2 linked regions of the Coturnix japonica genome follow. The protein of the gene in region 2 interacts with the protein of the main gene of each other region in a biochemical or structural test. Links are inferred from orthologs where the notes say so. Each region holds a gene or a part of one and is shown on either strand. Other genes may lie near its edges.

Region 1 (16,508 bases), on a different chromosome or scaffold from region 2:
ATAACCCATTCATGACCAAAAGGGAATACTGTATTCATAGGATGCAGGAAGTTGTGCAAGCAAAGATTGTTTTATTTTTTTTTTCCCTTCAGCTCTTATTTGTGACAGTTCATGGCAGAAGTGAACCCTGGTGGAGACAGATGCAGAGGGGCACTACGCTCACTTCCTACATGCACCTGGCAACTGAGAAAGATATATATATATATATATATACACATATTTAAAGAAGTTATTGCCAGAGATCTTTTATCACTAGCTGTGTACAAGTGCACAGCATTGACAACCTCCAAAACACAGCCAGAACAACAAGAGGGAAGAATGTGCAAAGAGAAGACACAATGAGCAGCAACTGGAGATTACTTTGACCAGTGGTCATGTGAAACCTTGCCTTGGTTTACAAAGCCACGGCTCAGGGAACCTGCCCCAAGAGCTTGAACCTCCACACGTGGGAGACTGTGAAACTTAATCTGGTTAACCGTCAGAGCACAGCTGGAAATCAGAGCCATTTCAGATGCCAGCAGTTTGCTCAGCTGGCAGAAGGAAAGGCACCACATCATATCTCGCTTCCTTGCAGCTTGCAATGACAAGTGTGATCCGCATCGTTGGGGGTCAGGTCAGTTCCTCTGCCCTCAGACAAATGTGGAAATCACACTCTACCACAAGCCCTAAGAGATCTCAGTCATTAACCCACAAACCTCTAGCAGCATTTCAGAAGTCCTACAACATCCCCGGGAAGTGGGAGCAGCAAATGTCTTGTTTCAGTACAGTGAACATTAACAGGCTATTGCTCAAAAGGGAAACTGAAGTTTGGTTCTCTCTTATCTTTTCCACACTGTTCCATAGAAGGAGACACAATGTTCAGCTAACCAGGTTTTACTGCAAATCTCAGATTAACACGGCTGAAATGAAGCCATCTGAATGCAGCAGTAACTAATACGTAGAAATGACTCTAAATGAACCTCAGCACATAAGATCCTCAGTTTCTTTTCTACATCCCTTTTTTCTTTTCCAAGAGAATCTCAGATTTCATTTCTGCGGCCAACTTTGCAGAAACAGGAGTGCAGGGCATCACCCCACCACTGGCAGCAACTGGTCTGTGGAAGAATTAGACACTGCAACTTACTATACTTCTTATCTTTAAAAGGAGCTGAAAAATAAACAAGTAGGGACTGTGTCAGCTGCTCTGAGCAGCCCTAAGTGCAGGCACAGCAATAAACACCACACATACTGCTCACAGGTCGAACCATAAATGCACTGCACAGAATTTTGCACGCAAGCATAACCTTACAGAGCACGGTAAAGGTCATAGGGAATGACCTTATGTCTCATAACAGCACAACAAGTGGGCAGTGGGTCTGCTAGGATGGAGGGGGGGGGCTCTTTTGTGAATCACCCAGAACTTCCACCAGAGAAGTTGTGGATGCCCCATCCCTTGGCAACGTTCAAGACCAGGCTGGATGTGGCTCTCGGCAGCCTGGTCTGGTGGCTGGTGACCCTGCACATAGCAGGGGGTTGAAACTGGAGGATCATTATGGTCCTTTTCAACCCAGGCCATTCTATGATTCATTCTATGAAAGAGAAGTACCTTCCTGCAAGATAAATAAACAAAGCAGCACAAGTGAAAAAGACACTTAAAATGTATTTTAATTTTGTAGGCTGCTCAAACTTGCAGTAATTTAGAAAAGAACTATTCCATTTCTACTTCTGCAGCAAAATCCTAACCATAAGGAGACCTAGGATTCATTTTACCAGGAGGTTGCAGGAGTAAAGCAAGAGGAAAAGCTTGCTATGTAGTCAGTAATTGCCAGCTCTGGCCTTCTGTTCACTTATCCTGCAGCGTATGCTTCTCCCACTGAACCAGGAAATAGTTCAGCATTTAAAAGCATGAAGACTGAGTCAGAAGACAATAGTTAAATACCAGTTAAACCACATATCGTAGGTCTGTCTTGTAGTAGTGGGAAATGAGTACTGCTTAAGGCGGTTCCAGATATTGCATCCACCTGCAAATATTTGCTGCTGGCGAGAGCTCAACACATACACTCTCACTAGCAGTGCCAGTACTTTCTGAAATATTGCAAGCAAGAAAGTTTCCTTAATATAGAGTACAATAAACTCATTCTATGCTACAATCATCGAGGGTATATATAGCTTGGTTGAGGGCTAGGTTATACGATTAAAAAGTCAGCTAATGATAACTGCTTCTTTTTTTCCTAGCTTTTTTAAGCTTTCATTTCACGAACATGAAATCCTGTTATTTGCTGCTTTAATGATGATCTTTTACATGGAGTGCAGAGCAGAGATCAGAACTTGCAGTGCCACAGAAGAATTGGGCACATGTTCACAATAAAAGCACAGAAGCAATTACACTTTCATTACATAGTCTCAAATCCACATAAAAATACCCCAATGTTAAGACATTCATATTTTAGACCAACTACCTTCCAGCAATAATGAAAAGCCATTACGACTGAAGAAAGAGACGACGAGATAAAAACACACTGACGTGATGCCGGAGGACACTGGCTATTAAAATCTTATAAAGGAATAGCTAAACACTTTAGAACAGTATTTCATCTGTAACCGTTCAGCTGGAAAAAATGCCTTTTTGCAAATGGATTCAGAGCAATTTTTTTTTTAATCCGTCAGCTGCCCAGCTTTTTTATTTCTAAATACCTCCTCCAAATTTTAACATCTTCAAATGAAGTCCTCGATAAAAGGCACGGACAAAGGGAGTTTTTTTTTAATGGAAACAAAGGGAAGTATTGTTGAGATTTATTAAATGCATACAATTACCTGTATTGTCACAGAGATGAAAGGACAAAGAGCCAACAGATCCAATTCCAGATCTTACAGCCGTGCCCTTCGCCACACTCGTATTTTAAAACCGAACTTGAGTTAACACATTCATAATACCAGTGTCTGTGAATGCTTTGCATGAACTTCAAAATAGTCTGTAATATTTTAATGCAGCTGTGACAATACAGTTATGATTGATAACTCAAAAGAACACATTCAGTGTAACAGCGTGCTTTCAGTTTGCTGGAAGAAGAAATTCAGAATCAGTTCAAGGTTTGGTAGAAAAAATAACCGTCCTGTCTATTAGGGACTTCAAAAAAAATCCATCTTCCCTTTTCTAGTTTTTCAGCTCAAAAATATTTCTAGAGATTGGATTTCAAACCGCAGAGTCTGAAAGAAGAACATCTTTTGATTCTGCAGGTAGTCATGTTGTCTATCTCATGCGAAAGCACCTCGGTCTCCTTTCTCCAGTACTTAGATAAGCCCATTGGAATCTGAGCCTAACTCATATGCCTACTGCATGCCAGCTAGAAAGGCCAGATCCTGACTTCATCTCTGTGCTGCTTATTTCCCCCTGTGCCCAGCTGTGCAGAGCTACCCTGCAGAGGTGAATTCCCCTCGCAAAGAATTATGCAAACTGAAATAAAGATGACAAACTTCCCCAAAGAAAGGCCTTCTTTTTTCTTTTTTTTTTTTGGTTTAGTTTAAGATGCACATTAGGGACCGTGGGAAGGGAACTGCATTAAACTATAGATCTACAGAAAGTGAAACTCGGTTAATCAGGTACAGTCTACTTTGCAAACAGACACTGCCCTGGTATCATGACCAGAAGCAATTATGTTGTTTTATATGGAGCTCTAAGACTGCTGTCAGAAGTGTCTGATCCTGCAAGGAGGCTGAAAGAAAACCGGGACTTAGAAAACATAATTCACATATCACAGAAGCCATATGCTGCCAATAATCCCCTAAGTCTACATTCTGTAATAAATGGATGATTCTACATGCAGTATCAAGAAAACATGAGAACTCCTATGCTTGTTTTCACTGGAGAAAAATAATAAAAGAAAGCTGAATTTCATGTCCTAAAAGGATGCTGCCGATTTAACATCGTTCATTTCCTCCTTGATTATTTATAAGTACATGAAGCTCCTGCAGTACAAGCCAGAACAACTGAGCACAATCACAGCAGAAGGAAAACCCAGGCTGTTGTTAAACTTCCTTACTAGCACAACACAATTTTGCATACGTAAATGTAATGCCTACCACAGGCACCCGTGTTGTTTTGTTTTTTTCCTTCACGCCAGTTTTCTTAACAGCGTCACAGTTTAACGTTGAAAAGTGCACTGAAACCTTGGCACACCCAGTGCTGTGCCAGAAGCACTGGCAAGGCTGAGTCACACAGCTACACTCTGCTACGGCAAAACCAACGTGCACATCTTCCACCTGCACTGCAGAGCGCATGGTAAGAGCTCAGTGCTTTCTCAGCCAAAGCTACGTCTTGATGTCAGAAAGAGCTGTCAGGACATAAAATACTGTTTACGTAGACTGGTGTGCCCCAACACTAACCTGTATCTTTCCTTGGCCACTGCCCCCTGCCCCATCACTTTCAAAGCATCCTCCTGTCTTACAGGGAGCGCAGAGCATTCCCAGTCTGCTCCTGGGCACCCTCCTGCCGTTCACTGGGCTCTGGTGACACATAGGAACAGGTAGCTCAAGGAGGCTGTGGATACCCCATCCTGGAGGCATTGAAAAGCCAGGCTGGATGTGGCTCTGAGCAGCCTGGTCTGCTGGCTGGTGACCCTGTACATAGCAGGGGATTTGAAACTGGATGATCACTGTGGTCCTTTTCAACACAGGTCAGTCTACGATTCTATGACTCCAGCGACAGAGTCCCTAAAAATCCCAATTTGAAAATGAAGACTCAAAATCAGGTATGCAGATATAGATGTGCTAATAGTGACCTGCTCGTGTGGGAACCTAAGAAGATAAACATAGAAATGTATTAAGAAGTTAACAGAAACAAAGCACATGAGGAAATAATGAGAGCTCTCAGCTTAAGCTTCTCAGTAATGGGGAATGAAGAAACAAGTCACCCACATTCCTGTGAGAAACACTCTCCAGAGCCACCTCCCTCTGCAGACACAAACCATCAGCAAACAAGCAAGAGCTGTGTTGGCATAACCTTGACCAGGGCTCTTCATAGATGTATGGATTGTTCCCTGTCTTACCACCCATCTAAAAATTTGTCCAAAACTATGCAAGATTCATCTTGATAAGCAGTACAAAATAATTCCACTGAACCAGTATGAGTAGAGGCACCAGAAGATACACTCGAAGCCCTCAGAACATGCCAAGCTATGCTCCCCAGTAACAGGAACGAGCTATTTCACAAAAGCCGCTTGCACAAATAACCCCTTTCTAAGGAGCACTCCTGATGAGGCTCGGCTCAACTTGCAACCCTTTGCAGGCTTGGCAGGTAACAAAACCAACCTCTGAGAATATTGCCAAAAGGAAGTGAATAATTAATCTGTGAAGGCATCTCGTAACAGAGCCATCTGTGTTTTTGATACAGACTGTAAAATCCTAACAAGAAAAAGCTCTCAGACACCTACGTCTCACCCCTCACCTGAGCTGAGGCAGCAGAGAGCTGCAGCACCCCCAGGCTCAGGTGAGAGCAACACACAGAGCCAGGACCAGATGCCACCCTCACTCATTCCTCAATGCAACAGTGTCAAACAAGAGAGCTAAGAGACAGCATCTGCTTACCAGGCTACAATAAACAGACTGCAATTTACAACAAAGCTTCAGACCAAGGGTCAAGTCTTTCCTTGATGATTTTATAGGCTTAGAAGCAGAAGTTTCTTACCTTCAGTGGGGGTGGAATTTCACAGAAATTATTCCTTATGTTCTGTCTCTGGCCCATATGGCACACAGTAAGAAGAAAACAGTACTATGGTATGTAGACAGCACTGTCCTGCGCACCACAAAACCAAACCAATCAACCAAAAGACCACAAAGTCTTTCCAATAAAGAAAACAGAAAACCCCAACATTTTTTAAGAGATGTGACCAAAACATTGCACACATTGAGAGCTCATCAATGGCACTGTGGGTATTTCTTTTACTCATTTAGTTTGGTTAGAACAGTATGAATCAGTCAGAAAAGGCAGAAGCACACCAAACAAATGGGAGGTAGAAGAAGACAGTGTAAAAGAAGCTAAAAATAAGGGAAACTTCTTGACATGCCCCAGCACAGGGTTCATTTCAGATGCAGGCTTTACTCTTCTTGCCCACAAGTGGAGCACGGTTAAGCAAAGACCAGTTAAAGCCCCCGCAGGCTTGGTACTGTTCCTACTTCTGGATGTAGCTGTAGTTACAATTTCCACTACCCAGAGACACAGATGAAAGCACAGTCTCTTTTTCTTCCGTTACATTTCTAATTTCTGCAGGTGGAGACAGAGGCTTTTTTACGTGGCCCAGAGTGTCTCAGTGGGAAAAGAGTGACGGCTGCACTACAGGTTTCTAATAATGACAGGTTCTTCCAATTGGCTGATGGTAGTAGGAAAAAAAACATAAAAGCATTCAGTGAGGTTCCAAATACCAACAGCATCAGACTGTGACTGCTACAGTTTTGTGTTGCCTGCCTTTTCCAACCAGTGCTCACCAGCAGCTCAGAAGATAACTAAATGAGCCATGACTTCATTGATTCAACTCTGTTCTGACACGGATGTGTCCATTCTTTGCTGGATTACAGAAATACCTTTCCCACTTGATCTCGGGTTTTCTCCAGGAATTTTGGTTTAGTAGGGGCCTGTTCAGCTGCAGATACATTTGGAAACAGCTGGAAAGCACTCAGAGAAAAGCCTTTGTGCAGTTTTTCAGAGCATCTGTTTTGTTCTTCTCTTCCTGCACACACTGATCACCTCCTTCCCCACACGTTGCTTTCTAACGTTTTGCATTAGCACACGCTCACCTTCACTTGCTGTATCCCACCACAATTAGAGTCCTCCTCTGCAGTCATCTGCTGAAATCTAATTTCCTACTGATGGTTCTATTTAAGGCAAGGATCTCTTTCTCCAGCAGTAGGCCCTTTCTGCTGAAGAAAATTCAGCTAGCTCCTCCTATCCTCCCAGTGACCTTTAATGATGTTCAGGGTACTATTTACATTCAAATTTTGGAGTCTGACAAAAAGCAGTCACATCAGGCTAGCAACCAGCTGTGCCGCAACTGGCTGATTCAATGGCTTTCCTCTCCTTTGCTCACAGAAAGAATTTTCTTTCAAATAAGCAAGAAAGCAAGAAAAATGACTTGAGATGGGTTTCATACCTGAAAACACTGAATTCCCAGTACCCCATCACTCTATGATACTGCTGAAATACTCGTCCTATGATACACTATAATTCCACTAGGAAGATGGAGGTGCACAAATTAAAGTGGTATGGGTTAGTAGAATCCAGCCCTCCGCAGTAAGCAACCAAAACATTTAAAACAGTAGCAATTTCTCTCATATTTAGTAACTCCAACCAAAAAAATTTACATGCCATGAAAATCCTCAACAAAGCCTGGCATGTAGCTCACATAATTGAGGAAGTACTAATAATAGCGTGGCTGTTTGCACAGACAACATTTCCACTGTGGGCCTGAATTCAGATCTCTAATATGCAGAAGATATCTTGTTGTGCGTTGCTGGCTCGAGACTAAAACCCAAGTATTGGAATCCAACTAAGCGTGCTGCAATATGCAGGCACAGCACACATCCACTGCACGTGGAAAGCAACGCCTTTATTGTGTGCTATGGAAGGTGTTCACACTGTCCTTGTTTTGAATGTACAGACGCTCTTGAAACAAACCTATACTGCAGCTCAGTACAAGAATGGAAGTGCATTTCAGCATCAGCCATCAGTCAGCACAGAAAACAACCTGTCCTGACAGATAAGAAGTACGTTTCCAAGCTCCTCTGACACAAGCGAACACAGTTCAGAGACACAGCTTCTCATTCTGCCCTACATGTCCTGACTCCAGGCATGCTCAGGTCTCCAGATCAGGGATGCCCAGAGCTGTGTTGCTAATGGTGGTTGTTAAAGGTTTTACTTCAGAAGTCTGTCCACAGCAGCAGGTAGGCAGCCTCATACTTCTCAAGCTTCAGTCTTTTTCAAAGCTCTAAATAGGTAAATCTATGACAAAGTATTTGCTAAAAATTTCCATAAACTGCATTTATTTTAACATACATTTTTTCTTTTATGTGATGAGGATTACTTAGAATAATTTTACTAAAACTAAAAGGTAGATTTTCATCTAATAGAAGGCTCAACAAGGATGATTAACAATGACCAACATACAGTGGAAAGAAATTGACGTGCAACACATACATAGCAAGCGCACATTTTAACATGATGGTGCATCATTTAAACCCCTCAGCTGGACATTCAAATCAGCAATTAAATCATAATCCTATGCAATGGATTCACGCAGCATTACTGAGACTTTCTGTGCAGGAAATACATGGTAAGAGCAGGCCATCAAGGCTTGCATAAGAAGCATTTGTAATTCCAAACGAAAAACAAAAATACTGGAGCTTAAAAGTCTACTACTTTTGAGCAGTGGATGTTACGTTGCCATCTCACTAACAGGACCATTTCCAAATCACTGTCCCACACAAAAGCACAAAGCTAGGTTCCTTCCTTTTGTTTTTATTTTTAAGAAATTCCAACCTTGACCATTATTTTGTAACTTCTTAAGAAATTAAAAAATAGGGAAGATGTTTATCCTTGAGTAAAAGGCACCACAGAAAGATCATATGCCTGTCACACCACTGAGAAGCTGCTGTGACACAGCCGTTCCACAGCACGGGACGTTTCCCAGCCCTTGCGTGTGCTGGGCTGACAATGCTGTCTGTGTTAGGAGTGCTGTGCCCTCACCAACCCCACCTCTGTCATCTGAGGAAACACAGAGGCCAGATCCAGCTGAGCCACCCGACTCGCTGCCTTTCCTCTCGTGGGCTCATAGGGAGGCTGTAGACAAGGGGTAGTTCTCAGTGGCAATGTGTGAGGCCTGCTCATGGCATGTGCCTGATGGTCCCACCAGCTGCAGCCTTCCTCAGCCATCAGCTGGGTAACTCCCTACGTAGTCCCAAGCCACATCCCTACACCTGCACACACACACACACCACACCATGAATGACATCAGCCTGCTCCGACATCTGCCTCAACCTGTGCCAAGAACCCAACCACAGTAAGAAAAACTGTTCTCTATTAGATGCCATCCTGACTTTTAAAGGACAAGAACACATGAACACCATTTGGATGGAACAGGCAGCAAGACCAACCACATGTTGAGCAATCATTCCCTCCAAAGCTTTGTTCTGCACCCTTATTGCTGGCATTAATATATTAAACAAGCCTATCATGCACACGTCACCCCCCTTGAACCACAAGTGCCAAACTGAAATTAAGCTAATTCAAACAAGAGAATGATTCCTCACAACCATGCCATCAGCAAGGACTCAGTTCCCACCCCTAAAAGGCTTTTCCCCCCCGCCATCTCTCTCAGGAGACCAAGCAGTTGCCCCTATGGATAAAAACTTCCCAAGGTGCTGACAAGTATCAAGAGGGCAGGTGTGGCATAAGCCTTCATGTTCACAGGTATGTCTAACATCACAATCAAGGCCGTCAAAACCTGCTGCCTTCAGCACTGTCAGACCATGACACTGAGATTTCCAAGCCTGGCACAATAGCAAAGCAGAGATAGAACAACAGTATTCCATCATCCAGGTGACTACAGAGCAAGGTGCTCAAGCTGAATGAAAGACAAGGAGGAAGCAATGATTTAGGATACACATCGTCTGCAATCATGAGTGAGTACCAATGTGAGACTGGAAAAGAAATAGCTAAAAATATAGCAGTGGTATAATCCTATTCTGTGACTGTCAGGGTGGGACTGAAATATAAGCCGGGGGGAACTGTCACCACAGATTACCAAGCACTCTGGTCCATACCCACACACACTCACACTTCCATAGGAGAAGCTGTTGAGGCAGAGCAGCCCAGCCAGTATTTCTGGAAGCAAAAGTTCAGTGAGCCCTGAAACATCAGAGTTTGCAGCAGTCACAGTGCATACCTATGGCAACGTTAGAAAGTCATTAGCCAAGATGAGGAGGGGGTGAAAGTCTGTGCCATGCCACGATGGGCGCGTCACCTGGCAAGGGACTGCGACTTACATCACCAAAAGGTGTTCTTGGAAGAACGGCCGGCATGTGCTCCGGCACCGAGGGAGGAGGCCTGAATGAAGCACAGCCGTGCTGACGGAGGCCTCCGACTGACCCGCAGCCAGATGCTGCCAGGTCCGCTCCCTCCACGCCCCGGCACGATTTTTCTGTGCAATACCCGCAAATCACTCTCGAAAGCCATAGCCCAGCGGGCGACGCGCATCACCGGCACGGGAGAAGAGCGAACAACATCGCTAATGAACCAGCGGGCTCGCGACCGGAGCAGGCTGCAATACCGAGCGAGAGGACGGCAGCCGTCCCCGCTTTCCGTAACGCAGCTGCCGGCGAGGCGGACTCCCGCAGCACGCTCCGCTCGGGCTGCTCCGCCGGCTCCCGCCTCCTCCGCATCCCCGGCGGCGTGGACGAGCGGCCGCCCCTCAAAGCGACGCCGGGCGGGGCTCGGACCCCGTGGGGAGGCCGCCGCCGGCCCCAGGTGAGCTCCGGCCCGCGCCGCGGCGCCCCCCGGCCTCTCCGCGGGCGGCTTCGGCGGGACAAAGCCCGAGCCGCCCGCCGGCCGCACACCTGCCCGCGGCCACGGGCCTCCCCGCGGGGGCAGGTGCGGCGCTCGGGCTGCGGGCAGCACGGACGGACCCCCGAGCCCGAGCCGCGGTCTCACCTCGGCGGGCAGCAGCAGCAGCAGGAGCAGCGGGCAAGGCGGGAGCAGCGGCAGCAGCCTCATGGTGGCGGACAACGATCCCCGCCGCGCACACGGCCGCTCAGCCCGACGCCGCCTCCCCCGGAGACATGGCCGGGCCGCGCGCCCCGCACCGCCCGGCGTCCCACCCCTGCGCCGCCCTCCCAGGCGGCGGCGGCGCCGCGCCCTCCCACTCGCGCTCCGCGGCTGAGGGCGGAGCTGGGAACCGCCGCCACCCGGGGGAAACCCTGCGCGGGGCGGGCAGGGGGGGGCGGAAAGGGCCGCCTCCCCCAGGCCTAAACGGCCCCTCCTCCCGGCATCACAGACCCCGCCGGGACGGCCGAGGGAGCGGCAGCCTCCGAAAGCTTCCCGGAGCCCGGCATCGCCGAGCCCCGTCACTCTGATAACCCCGATTACTGCCCGGGCTTCGAGCGCTGCTCCGAAATTCATTCATTTCAGATAAGTGAGAAACACGGACGGTTCCCTTTGGTTATGGGAACGCTGTCTTCACTTCCTCGCAAGTTTGGAGTTGGTGCGGGAGGAGGACATCCCTTCGTACCAACAAGACTAGGAGGAAATAGCCAATTACTTTCAAAATCCTTGGGACACACTCAAGTGAGGAAACAAGCACTATATGCAACCCATTCATAAAGCTGTCTTATCTATCCTATCCATTCAGAACGAGGCACACGGGAATTACCGTCTGGCTGAAGACTCTTACTGGTGAACCATGCAGCTGCCAGAAGTCTCACTGGCTGTGGTGAAGTTGTTATGCTGAGGTTACCTCAGCAGATCAAACCCTACAATTTGGAAATTCCACCTCTGACTCAAACCCCCTGGTGTGCCTGCAAAGAGCCCCGGTGGCTCTAAATTGCTGAACTGTAGCTTCTGCCTGGGCAGAGTTTCACTTGCATCTAAAATACAACCAGCTACCTTGACAGCTTCAGATCCTGGTTACGCTGTGGGACCTCACTTGAGCAGTCATACTTGATCATCCTCAGCTCTAAGAGTGAGAACACTGTGGTGTTTTTAATTGCACGCCTTTCCAGTACAACAGCCTACCAACTAACCCAGCTAGTGCCAAAATTCAGTGAGAATCCCTCTGCTGATTTAAGCAGCAGTGACATCCCACCCTGAGGAGGGACATTAAAAACGAAATGCACTGAGACAGCAAGAATTGGAATTCTGACCTGTTCAAATTTATAAGAATCCTGAAGTTGGTGTTCTCATCTGCAAACATCTGAGTATTCTCTCATTTTTCTTTCCTCTGTAGGCCATATACCCCAACTTTGAAGTTGCAAGTGTTGCACTTCATATGCTACATCACTCCCTGGCCCCAGAAACTGCTCAGCTGTATCATTCCTGCAACAAACCAAACCTCTTTTGCCAAAGCATGTCTGTCTGGATCCAGTAGAGCTGGTGGAGCTTTTCATGCACAGCCTATACAGAGTTCATGATAATCACTTTTTCATAAAATACTTGTGGCTGAGTTCTCACAACTACTCCTATGTCCAATACCTGACAGAGAAGGCCTATGAAGTTTTGGGAGAAAGTCTCATCATTGAGGCATGCACAGTCATAATGAACTAAGAAATTTAGGTGTAGCGAAACAGAGTAGTTCTGGGATTGGAGTATACAACTTAAGTGCATATAATTAACTGTAACTGTAACCAGTGGCCTTGCCGTTGCCATCGTTCCTTATAGAGTGAGGTTATGCTGGAGTAGAAAGAGTGGGAGAAGTGTGTACGGTACAGTTCTTAGACCTCAAAGGACTAACTACTTTCCAGAAGCATTTCTTGTGTGCAAAAACTATTCATCTGGCATTATGATGCTGCCTGCACTGAAGAAGCGAGCAATCAGGATTCACTGATAGTTGAATAAGCTCAGATATGCTGAAGGTGGCCACAGTATGAAGTGCCAAGAAATATAATGCACTAAAAAGTGTAATTTTTTTGTAACAAAACAAAACAAAACAAAACAAAACAAAACCCAAAAACAACCAAGAAGTGCGATTTCTGTTTTGTTTGTAGCAAACTTTTGTGTGTGCAGCAGCTGAAGAAATACTTATCTCCCTGGGACTGTTTAAAATAATTGGATGAATATTCCTAGCTATTCTGATAACATTTTGAGAGCTCCACGGAGGTCACATGGACCTGAGAGCTTCCTTGGATCAAGGCCTCTGGTCCTCGCAGCATGCTCTGGTTGAATGCTGGCCGTGCAGACCACGGGAAAGAGCTGGACAGCAATGAGCTGCAGATTCATGCCAGAATTTGGGAGTTCACATGCTGAAAATGAAAAAGAGAAATTAAAAGCCCAGGATTTTTTATGAGTCTTCCTGTTGTTAATTGTTGAGCAGCAATATCCATCACAAACAATAATTTCCCAGGAGTTAGAGGCTCAAGTTTGCATTTCAGGCTACGGGCTCTTCACAGATTAATACTAATCTGCTGGAAATTCCCTGCATTACAACTGCGGTTGCCTAAGTGTTTCTATAGATAAATTTTGTTTATTCTACAGGCTTATATGAAAGCTTTGTGTGTCAGGATTATAAGAACTAGGTTGGTGTTGCTCCCAGGCTAGAGCTTCTAGTGCACTTTCATCCACAAGTTAATTTGTGCGTCTGAGTCATAAACGTCTTCAAAAGGCAGCATCAGAGGGAAGTGTTTTCACATCCTTATAATCAAGTTTTTGAACAAGAGACTGAAGTTTAAAAGTGGCCTTGGGCTCTTGCACACAAATCCAGGAGGAATGTGCAGGCGTATTACTTATGGGTGCTATAGTTTATACAGTAAGGCGTATTACTTACACTCCAGGCAGAGAGAAAGAGAAGACTGCAAAAGTATACAGTAATCCAAAGCTGTCCAATTCAGAGCAGTCACCCTGGCTGATAATATCTGTCTTTCATTGAAACTGGCAATTAAATAGTTTCTTTAAAAATAAATAAATAAATCAGCACAGCTATATTTAACTTCATCCCACAGCCAGCCTCCGTCACAATAGCATATTCTCATTAGTTATTCACAGTTTCATTCATCAGCTTGATGCAGTGTCAGCCAAAAGAGGCATCAGAATGTTGAGCATCATCAGGAAGAGTGTGGAGAACAATGCAGAGAGCATCTTTTTGCCAATATACAAAACCCAGGTGCACCCACATCCTGTGAGCTGTTCCGATCTCAGCATCACAAGAAAGACATAATGGACATTGGGAAGGCACTCAGAAGGGCAGATAAAATAGCTGATGATGGTGCAGCTGTCTTACATGGGGAGACTGTCACGGGTTAAGCGAAAATCTACCTGCGCCCATGACAGGGGGGCAGCTGGCCCACAGAGACTTAAAAAGATAAGGTTTCTCAACTGAGAGGAGAAAGCTACTTGGAAATGGGATGGATGAAAAACTGTTATTCATAAATCCCACCTAGAACTAGGGATTGCTCACCACATAGTGTGAGACTGGCTTAGAACAAATAAAATGAAATGCTTTTTTACATAGCAGGTAGTGAACTTGTGGAATCTGTAGTCATGGTAGGTTTTAAAGACAACTGGTAGAAGCAGGTCCAAAATGGATGTAGGCAAACTCATGAACAATGTGTCCATAAACAGGGAAAGGGCAGAGATGAATCCATAACATCCCCAGTGTATGACAGTGGATGCTAGGAATGGACTTGAGACAGTGGTCAGGTTTGTTTGCTCTTCCTAAACAGCACCTTCTAATGCTGCTGGGGGCAGGATACTGGGCTGGCTGGATTCATCAATGCCCTGACCTAGCAGAACATTTCTTAGCTGCTTACAGTAGTAATGTCCAAAACAGAGCCTTGCTGTAGGACAGTGTTGTATAAACACGCAGCACAAAACAGATGTTAGCATTACTTGCCATTTAAGTAGGTAAGATGGGGAAAAGGTTGGGGAAAGAGAATATTGCTATTGCCATTAGCAGAGAGGAAACACTCCGTGATATGATTTCAGACTGTGATCCAAGAAATGCTGTGTTCTTGGTTGCCATTGCAAGTTCACAGATTCAGGCAAGGTGGGACCTGTGTTACTCACACAGAATGACAAATGGTCTTCTGACCCATCTATCATTGCTCAGGGCCCTTAAGCTACATACATTCTGGGCATAAAATTAGCAATCATCCTTGAGAGCAGAGCGATGTGTGGAAACAAAGCTGCACTCACATGGACAAGGTAGAGGTGTGAAAGTTTTCATGGGTGCTGTGGACTTTCCAGTCTAGCTGCAGGCAGAAAATGAAGAATCTACAGCAAATGCTGAACTCAGCAGCAGCTGGGATGGTTCTACCATTAGAATTGATGCTGAAACATCTCAGAAGTTTGATGTGGATATAACCTGGTTTCTGCTCACACAAGTTCTCCACAGTCTGTAGCTGCCAGAGGTACTGACTGGGGACTGCTGTGCGGTATTTTAACTCCTAAGCAGTACATTTGCTTTCTCTTTATTCTCAAGGAATGGAAGGCATACTGAGCTACTGTCATGACCATCTTGAATATGGATGGTAAAACATGAGCAGAGGGAACATTAAAAAGCACTTTCTGAAAGACAAAAGTAAAATTCTGCATCATAGGGCAGGTTTGCAATGATTTAATATTGACCACGGGAGAAGATGTGGACGGGAGATGGTTTGCTTGGTTTTTCTGCACTTTGTTGCCACAATGGAGGTTAGCAAAGAGAACAACATGAAAAAAGCTTTTATTTTTAATAAAAAAAAAAACAACAAGAAACACCTCACTTTCAACAGGCTTCAAAGTGCAGAAACTGAAAGTAACTTTCAGAGGTGGGAAACACCTTCAGTCAATCTATCATGCTCATTCAGCGGCCAGTTTCCTGTGTGGGAGGGGAGGTGGGTGGAAAGGATATCTTTTACATAATAATTGAGAGGAAAATATGCATTAAAAACCCACAGACTAACACACTCCAAAGCATCTGCGGCATCTGAACTACTTCCATCACAACAGAAGATGTTTTGTAAGTGACTGAAGTTCAAAGAGACATCAGACTTAAAAGCAGGTTGTCTTCTATGCAGCAACAAAATGGACTTGGTTTCAACAGGCATAGAGAAGAGGTTCTGGTCATATAGTTTGTCTCATGAATGCAATCCTATGTAGGCTTCATACAGGAGTAATATCATGGGTTGCAAAGGGCTGCTACTAACACAATAAGCATACATCAGAATGTTTGCTACTCAGATACCATGACAGAATCTCCATAGGGAGAACCAAAGGGCACGGCTGTAACTCAGCAGCTCCATAAATGAAGGACATATATATAGGATGGCATGTGGAGCAAACAGGCAGTGACTGGCAAGAGTGGGAAATACTGAGCGTAGCTGGGATTCTGGGCAGCAAATAGAATAACTTGCCCTTCTCTTCCACCTTACCATTTTCCCCCCTCATCAATCTCCTGCTTACTATTAAAATGCATCAGTAGTTTTCAGAATATGAAACTTTAGTGGAATCACTTTCAATAACTCTAAGATTCTCAAGAGAAACTGTCACCCAGTAACTGACACCTTACAAATGGAATAACATAAAACTAATTTCCAAAGCTGTGCCAGAAACCTATACAATACCCGAGTCTGCTGTACTGAACAAGTGAAATCACTTGTCAAAGAATTATAAAATCCTTAGAGTTGGAAGAGACCTTTGAAGGTCATCTATTCCAACTCCCCTGCAGTGAACAGGGATGTTACAGCTAGATCAGGTTGCCCAGGGCTTGATCCAACCTTGAAAGTCTCCAGGAACAGGGCATCAACCACATCTCTAGGCAACCTGTTCCAGTGCCTCACCACCCTCACTGTAAAAT
Region 2 (15,738 bases):
GGGCTGCGATGCGCTGAGGGCGCAGCACGACGGCTTGGCTTTGCCCCAGCGCTGGCACAGCCTCCACACCCCTTTCTGTTTTACTTTTCTCCTCCCCCCAGCCCACCCCCCTCCCCTTCATCTCTCTCCTCTATGCGGGGAAGCCTTGCCAGCTGGGGAAGGCTGGGAGGGCAAAGAGCCTCCGCAGGCTGCAGATAAAGAGAGCGGAGGAGGAGAGAAAGGAATTCGGGGCGGCTGCGGACGCGCGGAGCGGCACTAACCCGCTGGGACCCCACGTGAGGTAAGGCAGGGAGCCGGGGTGGGATGTAGGACCCCTGAAGGGGCTTTGCTGATGGGGATAACGTGGGGGTTGGCACCCTGAAATGGCCCACCAGCCCTGGGAGGGTGGTGGCATCCCATGGATAAAGCCATATTGGGTAACTTCCCCTCTACTCCCCCAAGGGATGCTGTGGCAGGGCTTGAGGAACCTCTGCTTATCCCTGGGGAGCCTCAGGTCCTTCCCTGTGATGTGCTGGGCTGTCAGAGGGCTGTTGCCTGTCCCCAGTGAACTACCACTGTGCTGTCACAGGCAGGGGCTGCAAGCAGAGCTGGGTGCAGTGGATGCCGGCTGCAGGGCCTGACTGCCCCATCTAGGAACCATGGGGAGTTTGGTGCAAAGCATCGCAGGGAGCAGCAGGGGCTTCCTGCTGACCTCCACACTACTCCAGGGTGGGTTTGCAGGAGGCTGGCACAGGGATGCAGGTCCTTGCTGTGTGCAGCATTGCTCAGCTTCACCCCATGCTTGCATCAGGCAGAGCAGCAATAATGCATCCAAACACAGCTGGTGCCACCCCTCTCCACTCATTGCTCTTAGTGGCCCCCCCATCCCTGTGGGCCAGGCCAGCACGGAGGGGACATCTGTGTGCTGTGCTCAGTGCTTGCACCCATTCAGGGTGGGCCTCTCCAAGTGGTTGCACAAGTGTGGGCAATCACTCAGCTGTCCTTGGGGTCTCCAATGCAATCAGGTGGTGGTAGGTCTGAAGCAAAGCCTGGTCTGCACGTCCTGCAGTGCTGTGAGTCACAAAAGGACTTTTGGAGACATTGTGGAAACAGGGCATCCTGCTCCTGTGCTCATCTGCCAGCAGGGAGGTGCAGCTGGGGGTGCAAAGGGATATTTTCTGCTCCATCCCTGCCCTGGATCACCTGGGGCTTCTGCTAAAGCATCAGGCAAAGAGCTGAAAGCAGTGGGTTCAGCACTAAGGGCTGCAGTTGGGAAACAGCCACCAAATGTCCTGAGTGCTTGCAGGGGGGTCCTACTGGTCTCAGTTCTGGGCATCTCCCCATGAGCAATATGGAGAGGGGGGTGGTTTTATCCTCGGGGAGGAGCGAGCAGGTTGGGAGCAGCAGCCCACTGAGCTTTGGGAGGAACTATTAAATGTCTGTACATGATCTTGAGAGAGAAGAGCCCAGGCAGTTTGTGCTGTGGGAAAGGATCTGGAGGCTTTGGACACAAACCAGATTGCAGCGCGGCATGGGGAAACCAGCAGTGCTTCCTGTGGGACTGGAAGGAGCAGGGCTGGGGGCAGAGCCAGCGCAGAGCAGTGCTGAGGGATGGACATGGGAGAAAGACTTGGGGAAGACACAGAAGGGGCTCAGAGCATGCAGAAAAGGCTGCAGGGGGCTGATGGAGGGGGCTCTAAATAGGGGTGGGTGCTGGAATGGTAGCATGAAGTATTTGTGCATGGGGAGTGCAAAGGAAAAGGTCAATGTGTAGTGGTGTGCAGGACTAAGTTCTGGTGGGCAGAGCACCTTCAGCACTGCAGGTTTGGGGGGACATGGGTGCTGCAGCAGGGCAATGAGTTCTTGGTATCGTTCAGGCTCCAGTTTGGTGGGTTCTCAAAGTATCCCAAACAGTAGTGTTACAGAGTGAACAACATCCCTGGGATTAGGGCAAGAAGTGTCTGTGAGGATCAAACATTAGGGGATGCTCTCCAGCAGCAGATGCCAAGTTGAAATAGGATGAGTGCTGGATGGCCAAGCATCTCCCTGCATGCAGCAGCAAAGGGCAGGGAGCAGGAGTGGTGGTGGCTGAACAACTGCTGGCCCTCAGCCACTGGTGGTGGCATTGGTGCTGCCTTTGGCCCAGAGCTGGGGACACATTGGGGACCAGTGGGCTGGATGAATCCCATCACTGTAGGCTGGGGCATTTTGTGCAGTCTGTTTGTTTGTGCTTGAAATGAGGGGAAGAAATCCCCTGGAGAGGAGCTGAGGGGAGGGTAGAGGTCGGGGATTGTTCCCTGGGGGGCTGGGGTGCCTCCAGAAGTCTTCTTCTGCTCTGCCAGGCTGATTGGGCATAATGAGGCTTGTTTTAGGGCTTGCTTAATTAGGATCCCCTGAGCCAAGCGCACCTCTGTCCTGTTCTGCAAGGACGGCCCTTCCTGGAAGTGCAGCACTTTCCTGGAGCAGAGTCAGCTGGGACAGGGATGGGGACACGTGCCAGAGATGAACAGAGGGGCACTGGGACAGGTCAGGGGGGTCCCATGGGTCCGTCCCTTTCCTTATAGCAGGGGATGCTGGCAGTGATGTCCTGGCCCTTACACCCTTCTTCTTTCTCCTCATCTCTGGGACACAGGCTGTGGAATATTGAACAACCGTTTCAATATTCCTCATGAAATCTCGCACAGAAATGATGCTGCCAAGCAAGCAGGAGGTGTGCGGTGCTGCTGCAAAGCAGGGATAGATGTGCAGGAGGTGCCTTCCCTGCTAAGGATGGGGACTTCTCCCTGCATCCCCTGTGGACTACAGCAAGGAGCAGGGCCCCATCCTGCTCTCCCTCTTCCTTCCCCCTCCTGGCCCGTCTGCCATGCAAAGGAGGTTGTGACTGAAATCTTAATGCTACTGAGACACAGTAATTGGCACCAATTAAATTGCTACATTCATGTTTGAATTGCTTTAACTGGCGAGACACACTGTCTTATTTATACAAAAAAATATGTTTGCTTGTGGGTTTGGCTGAATCGGGGCCAGCAGAAAATAAACCATTGCAAGCTCTGCTCTCTGAAAGCACATTCTCCACTTGCAAACTGAAAGTCACCTCAGTTTCAGGGTTTGCTGAGCGAATGGCTGCAGAACAGAACCCTGCTCTGCTCAGGGCACTCCTTGAGAGGGTCCCGTCCTCTCCTGCCAAGTTTCTCTCTCCAGTGTGGGAGCGGATGGGGAGAATATGGTCTGATTCAGGAAGGCAAACTCTGGCAGGCGTAGGACTTGGTGATTTTAAAGCCGGGTTTGGAGAGAACAGGTGGTGGGTCTGTGTGATTCGTGGGGTTTTGGAGGTGTTTGTAGAGCATCGATGCAGAGAGAAGCTGGGGTGTTCTCTCTTGTTCTGTGAAGTGGGCCCCAGCTTGCAGCACAGGGAGCTGGCAGCTTGTCCCTGCTTTGCAGCAAGGAGAGGGGATGTGGTATTGGGTCTGAGCAGGGGGTGCGGGATCAGCCCCAGCAGCAGGGCACTGCATCAGGCCCCATCCCTCACGTGTGCTGCTGCCTTTGACACACTGGGTCCTGCTCCTCATCCCCGACCACAGAGCTGTCATGTGGCTAATCCTGGCCACGAGAGCCTAAAACCCCAGAACAAAGTGATTAAGCTCGGGTCCCTCGCAGGCAGCGGAGAAGAGAAGGGCCGATGCAGCCACGGGAATTATTTCCTCCTCCCTGGCAGCACCCGCATCTCATGGACATTTTCAGTTGAGGATCAGGTTGCTCTCCCTTTGCAGGGTCGTGGGGCTGGGGATGCAGCAATGCTGGGAGGCAGAACACAGGGGGATGTCTCTATCTGTTGTTCTCCCCTTGGTTAGTGGTTAATTAGAGCCATCCAGGACCTTTGGCCCCAGACCAGCACAGTGGGGGACACAGGGTGCACGTACCTTAGCAAAGAACTTAGCTTTCTTTGCTGAAGCAAGGGAGGGAGGAAAGGCCTGAGGTGCCTTCATCCCTGCATCTTCCCCTGATCCTCTCCACCCCTACACAGCTGGAAAAGCATCAGGCAAGTGGATGGGGACACCCCGAGGTGACCCAGATGTTACAGCCTGAGGACAGAGGGGACAGATTGCTCTCCAAGCAGCCACTACCCAGCAGCTCCCAGGTTTTGTTGCATGGCTGGAGGCATCTATTCCTGGGGCTGGCAATGAAGTGATGCCAGGAGCTGTTTGGGTGCTGCCCTGTGGGCTGGGGGCACTGCACCCACATTCATTGCTCACGTTGCTTGTGGTGTTTGCTCCTAAGATGTCTTTACTGTCAGGGATGATGGAGGAGTTGGAGGATGACCCTGGGCAGCTTGGTGGAGGGGGGCACCGGAGAAGCGTGAAATGCTCCCGAGAGACACATTTGGACCCCTGGGTTGGGGTCACTGCCTGCAGGGAGTGAGCTCTGGGGCTCAGCAGATCCCACTGCTCACACAAGCATCTTGCGTAGTGTGTGATGCCACAGCTTGGTCCAGGTGACCAACAAGCAAAAAGCAAGGCATCCCATCCCTCCTTCCTGACCTCAGTTGAGCCCCTTGCTTCCCTCCCAGGGTTTTCCCACAGCCTGGGCCAGGTTTGTTGGCTCCAGGGAGCAGCCCCGTGCCCGGCCTTCTTTCCATTAGCGGAAGCGGGGGGAGCATGCGCAACCCAAAGGGCCACGAATACCAACACTCAAGGCTGGGGGATTATTTATAACGCTGGCCCAGCTCCAAACAGATGTTTCATTTTATTCTGAACTTGTGCTTAGATGGGTCACTCATTTCCTCTGTCTCCCATGGGCTTAAACCAGAGGGGGAAAGAAGGGATATTAGGGTTGAGCATCCCTCAGTGTCATCAGCACAGGGGTAAAGCATCAGGACCACGTTTGCATCTGCAGGCTGATGTGCAAAAGGAGGTTTGTGTTCCAGGGACTGCCCATGGGACCCCCAGGACTTCCCAGTCCCTCCAGTTTCAGGTTTCCAACCTCTGTGTTTTATCATCGGCTGTTTACAGGCTGGGGATGACGGGCTCCCCATGTGCGCGCTGCCTAATTCTAGCCATGTGCTGGGAAAAAAAAAGGGCTCTGTGATGATAATCTGGCCTGTGAGTAAATGCGGTGTCATGGGAGCCGAGGGACCCCAGAGGAGAGATGTTGCAACTCCAGCCAGTTCCAGCCAAGGGGGAAAAAAAAAAGCTCAGTTTTATTTAGATTAAAGGGTGGGAAAGAAGCAGTCGCAGAGGCGGGGGGAGGGTGGCAGAGGGAAATGGGACAGGCCAGGGAGTCTCACTGGTGGACAAGCAATGCTGGGGTCTCAGCAACCTTTGCCTGGGGAGCTGTTCCCCTCTAAATGGGGTGGGATGTCTCCCCTCCCCAGGCCAGGAGGAGCCCCCACACTATGGCTGTGCTGGGCATCGATCCTGGGATCCATGCAGGGCTTTCTCATTGCGCGCGGGCATCCATGATCTCACTTAATGACTCAGATGAGTTTAGACAAAGAAAAAATAAAGTGTGTTTAACTTCCCGCTAATTCACACCAGATGTCCTTTGCCTGCTTGGCAGGACCGCGGGGCCAGCGAGCACAGTGGGAGCGCCGGGAATCGCAGCCTGGCTGCAAATGGAAAGAGAGAGGAAAAGCGAGGGCAGCTGGTTGTGCTGAGAAGGGTTTTGCACCCTGGTTTCCAGCAAGCAACACGTCTTGCTGGTGGGCTGTGGGTCGCAGGGAGCTGAGCTCTGCTCAAGGAGCTGTGGGGCTGCAGGATGTGCAGAACCTTCCCTTCCCTGTGTGGATCTTGGCAGGCTGCTTCCCAGCTCCTGCAGCACTGGGGGTGCTTGTGGGACCCCTGTGTAGTTTCTCTGCTTGGTTGTGGGTGAGTGGCAAGGAATGTGGTCAAGGAGTGCTCAGGCAGTGGGTAGCAAATGGTAAGGGTGTTGCTTGGTCCCATGGTTTAAAGCTGGTCATCTGGTCTGACTCCTCTACAATGAGCAGGGACACCCACATCAGCGGCTCTGAGCCTGGTGCTTGAGTGTCCACAGGGTCAGGAAATCCACCACCTCTCTGGGCAACCTGTGCCAATGCCTTACCATCCTTACTGTAAAAAAACTTCTTCTTTATATCCTGTCTAAATCTCCTCTCTTGAATTTGAAACCACTCCCCCTTGTCCTGTCAAATACCAACAGGGTTTCAAGGCTGAGTCCGCACAGTGTGCTTTGGGCATTCTTGTTCAGACAAGATACAGGTCTGGGATGGAGGAACAGTAATAGATGAATGAGGTTTGGTGAAGCTTGAGATCGTCAGTAAGGCACTGTTATGGGGAGAGGTGGCAGAGATGGTGGAGGAATGACCCTCCCTCTGTAGGGATGAGACCATCCCCAGCTGAGGTTGGGTCTGGCATTTCCCCACCTCCAGCATCCTTGAGGCTGCCATGAGGAGCTGTGAGCTGCAGTGAGGTCCCCCCACAACCTCCTGGCTCTGGGCTGAACAAACCAAGGGCCCTCAGCTGCCCCTCACACCTCCTGCTCTCCAAGCGCAGCCTGATGGCCGCCCTCTCCTCTCCCAGCCAAATTCCTCTCTTAGAATAATAAACAACACAGCTCAAGAGAAAACGACCAGCCTGCCCTTGTGTCACAGCACCAGAGAGGGGCAGGGGGAGGTTCTGTGCTGGCACTTGGGGACTGCAACAGGGAGGAGGGGCTGTGGAGGGTCTCAGCACAGTGATGGGAGCTGGGATGTCTCCTTGGTGCCTGCTGAGGAGCTGGCATTGCTGCAGGGTGGGGATCTTGCCCACGGGATGTCCCATAGTTAAGGTTGCTCAGCTGCTGGTCCATGGGAAGGGTGTAAGAATCTGAGAGGTCTGTGACCCCATTTTCACTCGTGGGGCTGGAAGGAGATAATCCATGGCATCTGAGCACTGTGTAGGTGATGATGTTTGGGTCCAAGGATGGGATCACATCTGTGTACCTGATTCTGGATGGCTGGGTAGCGTCACTCTCACTTCGGGTCGTTGTCTGGCACTCATAGGGTGCATCTTGGTGTTCTTGCAGATAACAGAATCTGAGGCTGAGGATTGAAACAAACATCATCGAGGCTGGCAGAGATCTGGGTTCATTTACATCCCTTTGTGAAATGCCTGTTTGTGCACGTGTGCGAGCACACGTTGCTGTGTCAAGGAGAGGAAGGTCTGTCTGTCTGCTGAGCAGGCTCTGCAGAGCAAGCAGAGCTCGGCATTTCCAAGCATGCCTCTCACCCCAACCGGAGCAGACAAACAAGGGAGAGGTCACAGCTATTCGCGAGATGTTGCCACCCTCCCACTCTGCTCAGGAAGCATCTCCGAGAGAAAAGGCTTTCTGCAAAACCAGCGTTTTTATTAAAACCAGCCTTGAATGCTGGGGAGGCAGCCAGCGGCAGCAGGCGGAGGCTGCAGAGCTCTTGGTTCTCGCTGCAGCCTGGATCCAGCAGAGCACTGGTTTGCTTGGCAGGGATCCTACAGAGTCCGGGGTGCTGCTGGTGGGACCGGACCTCTCTGACAGGCAGCTTGTGTCCATTTACAGCCTGAATTTCCCCTCCATCCTTTTCATTCCATCCGCCCCCAGGTCTTCCCTTTAAGAGCTGTCTTCCTTCCCAGCAAATGCAGAAGAGAGGAGTCACTGAGGGGCTTTATGGAGGGGGAGAGGCAAGCTGCTGAGTAAGCTGGAGGCCTGGAGGGTTTTGCTGGTAGATCAGGCTTTCTTTATTCTTTTTTTAAATATTTGGAGCCAAAGCAAGAGAATAATAAAAACATCTGACAAGTGCACGTCATTTAACAACCATTTCCTCCCAACATCAAGCAAAGGGAGACGGCACTTCAGGGCCAAGAGGCAGCAGACCCACTCAGTAAGAGGCAATGCCTGGGGCTGGGCCACTAAGTTCAGATTGCCACCAGCCCTCAAGGGTCCTGGGGGGCTTCACCATGGGGTCTGCCTTGGGAGCAGCTTCAAGATGTGAGAGCTCTGAACCTCAGCTTTGGCTCTGGAGTCCCTGAATCACAGCCCACTCTGTGCCTGCCACCCTGTTGTGTAGGGGATGGCTCCAGTGCTGTTAGGGAGCTCTGGCCCTGAATCTTTTGGGCTATCAGTTTGCATCAGGAAGGGCTGGGCATGCTCCATGGAAAGGAATTCTTGAGAAATGTTGATAAAAGGGATTTTAAAACAAAATTATTCCCTGAAGATGCATATTTATTGAAATAGAAGAAATTCTCTGGTTTGGGGGGGGGTTCTTTACGAGGGGGGGGGGGGGGGGGGGGAATGTTTTTGGATGCATTTTCTTTTGTTGAAAGAAGCAGAAATTGTGGGAGGACTGGAGGGGTTGTCTGTTTTTTAGCAAGTTTTATCTCATTGGGACTGAGGGAAGTGAAAACTAATAGGGAAAAAAGGCAGAGGGAGGGAGGCAGGCAGTGCTCTGCAGGTTGGGGAGAGGCATTTTGAGCTGTGATGACCAAGAGCTGACACAGCTCCTGGAGCCTCCAGCCCAGTCCCTGTTTCCCAGCAGGAGATGCCTTAGATCTGCTCCTTCAGCAGATCCAGCACGAGGGAGAGCCAGGTCAGCAGCAGGAGGGAAAGGCTGAAAACTGGAGAGTGGGGAGGTGGAGAGGGGACCCTCAGCCCTGTGGTGCTGCATTAATCCTGCTTTGTTCCTAACAGGATTGGGCCACTGGGCCGTGGAGCCCAACATGCTCTGTCCCTCTCTGAAGGCATCACTGCAGCTCCTCATCCTCACTGGTGAGTGGTGGCCCAGGGAGATGGGATCGGGGACTCGGCCCCTCATGGGGAAGCTGTCTGGGGATGCTTCCATCACCGGGGTGATGAGGAGATGGGCAATGGCACAGGGAGGCAGAGGGCTGCACTGCTTGCATCCGTTCTTTCTGGGTCTACCGGCTCTGCTGACACAGTCCTAATTCTAACCCTTACTCTAACCCTAACCCCATCCACAGAGACACTGTGGGGGAGCGTGTGCACTTTCCCAGCCCCACTGGGACATCTGCATGAAGCATAAAGGCCAGGAGACATGGGAAGCTGTTCAGGAAGACCTTGCCTGCTCGATTGCTTCCATAGGATTTCCTGCAAGGCTTTGCTTTCATTCCTTTTTCGCTTTCTCTTAAATGTTGTTTCAGACCAGCCTGTGTCATGTCTAGCACTATCTCTGTAAAGAGGGAGCCAGCAGAGCAGGGAATTAATTCCTTCATCTCCTTCTCCCCCTGCCCACCAAGGCATGGCGTTTCTGAGCTTCTGATGATGCAGCTGAGACCTACCTCTGCTTTATTAGACCAGCTCATTTTTAGGTCAGCAGGACTATATGCTGTCAGCTCCTCAGGCCCAGTGCATGGGATGTATACAAGCAAACATCTGGGAGATGTCTAGGTCCCCCTGCTTCCAGCCCTGTCCTCGCCAAGGATGTCCCTTGCACTGGTGTAGCAGCAGCACAGCAGCCCTGTTTGCACCCTCTGTTTCAGTGGGTGCCTGAATCCCTCCCAGGCCAGCCTCCTATTCCTCACCTCCTGATGACACTGGGCATTACTAGTCCTTGGATTTCAGAGATGTCCAATGTGCTCTCACCTCTTCCTCTGTTCCAGGTCTGTTGGTGGTAACGTCTGGGGACAGTGGGCTGCACATCGAACCTGAAGATGCTGAGCTCGTCCTTAGCCTTCACAGCACCTTCTCCCTCATGTGCTATGGGGACAGCGCACTGGTCTGGGAGAGGGATGGTCAGCCTCTCGCTGCTGTGCTGGAGCACAGGGACGGGGTCTTCGTCAGCAACCTCACCCTCAGGAACGTGACAGGCCGTCACACAGGGGAGTATGCGTGTCTCTACAGCCCCGACCAGGCTCCAGAGCGAGCAGAGAGGAAAGCTCTCTACATCTATGTTCCAGGTAAGGGACAGCACATCCTTGTCTCTATGTGGAAAGGCCCACGTGTGGCACGCTGGAGCAAGCAGTGGGAGAGGTCGTGGTGTAATGAGTGTACCCCTCTCTCTTATAGATCCCTCCTTAGTTTTTCTCCCTGCAATCACTTCCGAAGAGTTCTTCATCTTCATCACGGGCTACACAGAGGCCACCATCCCATGCCGCGTGACCAACCCAGAGCTGCAGGTGACCCTTTATGAAAAGAAAGTGGAGAATCCCATTCCAGCTGTTTATGACCCACAACAGGGCTTCAAAGGCTTCTTTGAGGACAAGACCTACTATTGCCAAGCAATCGTGGATGACCAAGAGGTGGATTCAGACACCTTCTATGTCTACAGGATCCAGGGTGAGCTGCCCTCATCTTGGCTTATTTCTGTAGCTGTTGTGGCCATTCTTTCAAAACAATAGGGATGGGATAGAAAAGCTTTCCTCCTGTCCCTGTGATATCCCTGATCAATTTAAGGGCTGGATTTAACCCTGTCTCTGTTAAAGAACAGGTCCTGCCAAAGTGGCAGATCTATACCTCATAGAAGAGATTTCAAGTGAATAAGTCCACCTAAGATAAATGGACTGGGTGTCTGCTCATCTCTTCCTTTATTAATCATCCCTTCCTTTGACACTTCTAACAGTCTCATCCGTGAACGTCTCCATCAGTGCAGTGCAGACCATAGTGCGTCAGGGAGAAAATGTCACCCTGATGTGCACTGTCAGCGGCAATGAGCTGGTCAACTTCAACTGGGATTATCCCCGCAAGCAGGTGAGTGCACCAACCCCAGCCTTTGCCCATGTGTCCCATGGCAGTCACTCGTCAGTATCATAGCAATGTTCAGGAAGCTTCATGTCATGGCAGATGTAAGATGTTGCTGCCATTCAAGAAGGCTCAGTGGGGAGATTCTTGTGTGAAGGCTGGCTGTCTCAGGGGCTTTTGATGCATGTTCCTTGTCCCCATTGTAGACAGACCAAGGTCTGCCCACTTCTCCTCCCTCCCCGTGAGCCTGGCTCTGTCCTCCATTGGCATGAAATGCTCTTGACTTCACACACAGTATCTCTTGTCCCCATTGTGCAGGCAGGGAAGGCTGTGGAGCCAGTGACCGACTTCCTGCCAGGATCCAGCCATGACATCCGTTCCATCCTCGTCATCCAGAACGCAGAGCTGGAGGACAGTGGGACCTACGTCTGCAATGTCTCTGAGGGCTACCATGAGAAAACAGACCGGAAAGACATCACGGTCCAAGTGATCGGTGCGTCACTGACCGTGCTCTCAAAGGCAGCAACCCACATGGGTGTTGCTCCAGAATGGCAAACTCCTCTCTCTGCACAGCCTTCAGCTCCCTCCCCTTCTCACCCCACCCTCATTAACCATGGCAAAAAGTCAGCCCTCACCCCATAGCATCCCTGCCGACTTCTTGGCTTTGACACATCCAAACTCCCCCATCTGAGATTTTGGGACTCTAATATATTTGAGGGTTTGTGTGAGAGCTCTTTTGCACTGTGCAGTGCCAATGTGTTCTTAAGTCAACCTCCCACCTACACCTGTGCTCCTTTGCGGGAAGCTGCCCATCTCTGAAAGGTGACAGCCCATTCCCTGCATGTTATCTGGCCTCTGAGCACGCCCCCATGCTCCCCTTGGGCATGGACCTGAGACCTAAAGGGATGAACCTGGAGCTGCTCCATCACTTCAGGGTGTTTGATCCCAGACCCATGGTAGCTCATAGGGATGGAGAGGTGACTGTGTCTCTCCCTGAAGCCTGTATCCTTCTTGCCTCTTCTCAGAGCGTGGCTTTGTGCACTTCCACACCCACCTGGCCAGCACGGTGTATGCTGAGGTCCACAAGAGCCACATCATCCAGGTGGATGTGGAGGCCTACCCACAGCCAAACATTGTGTGGCTGAAGAACAACAAGACGTTGACCATGGAGAGCAGCAGCGAGTTCACCATCACCAACAGGAACCTGTCAGAAACCAGGTGAGGGCACATCACTCCTAACCAGAGGACAGGGAGGGAATAATTCACAACACAAAGTGGTTGGGCACAGGATGGTGGTTGGACACGGGATGGTGGCTGAATGCTGACCTTCCTGTGAGTGGATTCTGTGCATTCCTCAGTTGTGTGGGAGCTGGTCCCTTCCAAGCAGTGTCAGCTACATGGTACCTTCCTGCATGCACTCTATGGCTGTGTCTTCTCCAGGTACCAGACATCTCTGGTTCTGGTGCGTGTGAAGCAGGAGGAAGGAGGATATTACACCATCCGAGCTTCAAATGAGGACGATGCACAAGAGCTGTCCTTCCATCTGCAGATAAATGGTGAGGATGTGCATGCAGACACGGGGCCAAGGATTGTGGGGGTAGTCCCAGGGGGTGGCTCCATCCTTTGCTCCAGGATTCTCAGCCTGAAGCCTTTACACCTATGACTACAGATCAGGGGGGGTTTTGGCCAAAAGAAGAGCATTAAAGTGAGGACAAAGATTGCCTGAAATATCTCACACCTGGTCTTATAGCCAGGGAAACAAGGAGGCAGGGCAGATACCAGCCTTCAAGTGTTGGCCCAAGGATGCAGATGCATCTGCAGATGCAGAGGTGTCCTTATGTAGTTCCTCTGCTATACAAGCAGAATAGATAGGGTCATCTGTGGTCTTCCATGATCACCTCAGCCCTTTCTGGTTTTGCTTTTAGTTTCAAAAATAAGGCACGTTTCCTCTAAGTCTTACTTCACTGTCACATCAACCCTGTGTCACAGTGAGGATCTAGGAGAACTTCCTTCCTTCCCCATCTGCATTCAACACTGAGGATTAATTCCCACCAATGTGTCTTGGTTTCAGTGCCAGCCAAAGTGGTGAATCTCAAGGAAAACAGCAGTGCCAGCAGTGGGGAGCAGACTGTAACATGCTCTGCTGAAGGGATGCCCCAGCCAGAGATCAGTTGGTCCACGTGCAGCAACATCAAATGGTGAGCAGAGAGATGGAGCCCATAGGAATGACAGGGCTCATGCATTTTTAGAAACAATAGACACTTTATTTTACTGTGTTCTGCTGGCCCACGCAGTTGGAAATCCCATGGTGCTACGTGGGTCTGGCTGCACCTTAGGTGCCTTTATCCTCCTCTGGTCCAGGTGTGGCAACCAGGGGCAGCCCACCCAGCTGCTGGGGAACAACTCTGCGGAGATTGGCCTGCACACCAACGCCACGTACCATGCAGAGCTGCAGGTGTTCCGTGTGAACAGCACCCTGCAGCTGCACAGGGTGGATGAACCCCTGCTCCTGAGGTGCACCGTGCAAAACTCCCTGGGCACCACTTTCCAAGACATCACTTTGGTTCCAAATGGTGAGCACTGCAGGAGGTGTTCAAGTCGGAGGTGGGGAGATGGACTTTCCTCTCTGTGCCTCCAGCCTGGAGGTGCTGGGAGCCAGCAGTGTCCTCTGATAGCTGCAGTCCTCAGGCAGAGAGCCTGGATATTTCTGCCCGAAAGGAAGCCTCCTTTGTGTTGAGTGGGAAAGGCTGCTCTGAGAGCAATCTGTAGCCTTCGTGCCCACTGGCCATGGCCATTTTGCTCCCACTCCCGAGCAGGGCTATCCCTCCAGGGACTTAAGAACTGATCAGGTCCCCTAGTGTCTTGTTATTAGCCCGAGGGTCACTAGATGGTGCCACAGACCCAAACAACTACATGCTTTCCCAAATAACAGAGAGGAAGGTCTCAGCTGGGAAGGTCTGACCCAGAGGAGAGGACAGGACTGTCCCCAGTCAGACTCCAGCCCAGAGGACAGCCTGGGATGGATGTGTGGACCTGATTTAAGGTCCACGATGGATCATCAGTCTGTCATTACCCCTCAGGGTTGATGTCTTTTGGGGAGGTGTGTAGCAGGAAGGGGACGATGGCTAGAGGAGGGAGGGAGCCCTCTGTGCTGGGCTATGTGGGGGTGAGAGTCTGACTGCTGACCCTGTACTTACTGTTGTAGCCTTGCCATTCAAAGTGGTCATCATCTCTGTCATCCTGGCTCTGCTGGTCCTCACTGTCATCTCCCTGATCATCCTGATCGTCCTGTGGCAGAAGGTAAAAAAGGGCAGCATTTGGAGGCTGCTGCAGTGGTACCCATGTGTCAGAGTGAATGGGGAGAGCAAAGCTGTGAGCTTCTACCTGATGATGTTCCATCCATATTGGAAATCATGGGACTCTGTTGGCCTCCTGCCACCTGTAGGCTAGACATGAAGGTGGCAATGACTGCAGAGGTCAAAGACTCCCTAACAAAACCCATCCACAGGCCCCATGCCCTCCCTGTCCTTCAGCTTCTCAGATCTCCCTTGTCTCTTTGCTCCCCTCTCCAGAAACCTCGCTATGAAATCCGCTGGAAGGTGATCGAGTCAGTGAGCTCTGATGGGCACGAGTACATCTATGTGGATCCCATGCAGCTCCCTTATGACTCCAGCTGGGAGGTGCCCAGGGACATGTTGGTGTTAGGTAAAGGCTCCACAGGTCCCTCTGATGAACCTTGTCTGTCTTGGGGTGATGGTTTTGGGTCTGGGATCTCAAGAAGAGAACAACCCAGGCAGGGCACAGAGATCCCTGGGACATGAGGTGATCCTGCAGCAGAGGGACCATCTGGGGCTGCTTTGGGAAGCTAGCTGCTCCCTTTGGCATGAGGCTCATGGTCATTCCTGTCTCTCCTTCCCTGTGGCTGGCAGCTCCTTCCCTTCTTAATTAGTCACAGACCATTTACAGTGCCAAACATCCTCCCTCTCCACCACTGCCATTCTCATCAGGGTGGCTGGTGCCATTTCAGACAAGAGACTTGCCTTTCCCAAGGTCCTGTTCTTTCCTATCCTCAATGATCACATCACCCTCACCTCTCCGCAGGACGCACTCTTGGCTCTGGTGCCTTTGGACGTGTGGTGGAGGCAACAGCGCATGGCCTGAGCCATTCCCAGTCCACCATGAAAGTAGCAGTCAAGATGCTCAAGTGTAAGTTCCTACACTGTCCCTTTCTCCCACCCCAACACCACAAGGCTGGATGATGCTCAGCTGCTCACTCCTCACCTTGCCACTCACATCAACTGTCCCCAACAGCCACTGCCCGGAGCAGTGAGAAGCAAGCTCTCATGTCCGAGCTGAAGATCATGAGCCACCTGGGACCTCACCTCAACATTGTCAACTTGCTGGGGGCCTGCACCAAAGGAGGTAACTGAATGCCAGCTGTCTTCTCCCTGCCTTTCCAAACAGAAATAACAAGTTCTGACAATGCTCAGTCCCAGCAAAAGGCAGCTTTTCCTCACATCCTGCAATCCAGTAATGGCCCTCAGGGACAAAAATCACTGCCCCAGGGAGCAAACAGGGCCAAGTAAAGATGACATGAGTGCTCTTTTCCCCCAGGGCCCATCTATATCATCACTGAGTACTGCCGTTACGGGGACCTGGTGGACTACCTGCACCGCAACAAGCACACCTTCCTGCAGTCCTGCGGTGAGAAGGCCCGCCGCGAGGCAGAGCTGTATGGGAACACTATCAAGGAGGACCACGTGCAGAGGTGCCTGGAAAGCAGCCTTCTCCTCCTCCCTGCTGCCTGCACCATCTTAACCCACACCAATGAGGGAAGCTGGTAGTGCCAGGAAGAATCCTTCATTTCCTTCAGGCCAGTAAAATAAATGCTGGCTTAGCCAAGGGAGCATGGTTGCCCAGTGTCACCCTTAGCCAGACAGCCACCTCCAGACAGCTCCTGGCAGGCAGGGATTTAGCAGAGGCAATTTGTGTGTGCCAGAGGCTGATGCTAACACATACCCTGGCTGCTCTATGCCAATTGGGAATATTCCCTGGCAGCATTAACTTTACTAGCACAAC

Evidence for each region.
Region 1: of the proteins of PDGFRB (region 2) and receptor-type tyrosine-protein phosphatase eta, one has a biochemical effect on the other in vitro, tested with the Homo sapiens proteins (2 studies listed by IntAct). The link is inferred for Coturnix japonica from reciprocal best matches to the Homo sapiens genes PDGFRB and PTPRJ.

The regions. Positions count from the first base shown.
Region 1 is NC_029520.1:16,575,110-16,591,617, forward strand, and holds the start of receptor-type tyrosine-protein phosphatase eta, read right to left. Parts: upstream 10,840-16,508; 5' UTR 10,739-10,839; coding exon 10,676-10,738; intron 1-10,675. UniProt on the Homo sapiens protein: Tyrosine phosphatase which dephosphorylates or contributes to the dephosphorylation of CTNND1, FLT3, PDGFRB, MET, KDR, LYN, SRC, MAPK1, MAPK3, EGFR, TJP1, OCLN, PIK3R1 and PIK3R2. Plays a role in cell adhesion, migration, proliferation and differentiation.
Region 2 is NC_029528.1:4,809,708-4,825,445, reverse strand, and holds part of PDGFRB (platelet-derived growth factor receptor beta), read left to right. Parts: 5' UTR 1-280; intron 281-8,652; 5' UTR 8,653-8,681; coding exon 8,682-8,730; intron 8,731-9,581; coding exon 9,582-9,878; intron 9,879-9,987; coding exon 9,988-10,257; intron 10,258-10,540; coding exon 10,541-10,668; intron 10,669-10,977; coding exon 10,978-11,152; intron 11,153-11,684; coding exon 11,685-11,877; intron 11,878-12,099; coding exon 12,100-12,215; intron 12,216-12,730; coding exon 12,731-12,857; intron 12,858-13,020; coding exon 13,021-13,232; intron 13,233-13,864; coding exon 13,865-13,959; intron 13,960-14,231; coding exon 14,232-14,364; intron 14,365-14,760; coding exon 14,761-14,865; intron 14,866-14,970; coding exon 14,971-15,081; intron 15,082-15,273; coding exon 15,274-15,427; intron 15,428-15,738. UniProt on the Homo sapiens protein: Tyrosine-protein kinase that acts as a cell-surface receptor for homodimeric PDGFB and PDGFD and for heterodimers formed by PDGFA and PDGFB, and plays an essential role in the regulation of embryonic development, cell proliferation, survival, differentiation, chemotaxis and migration.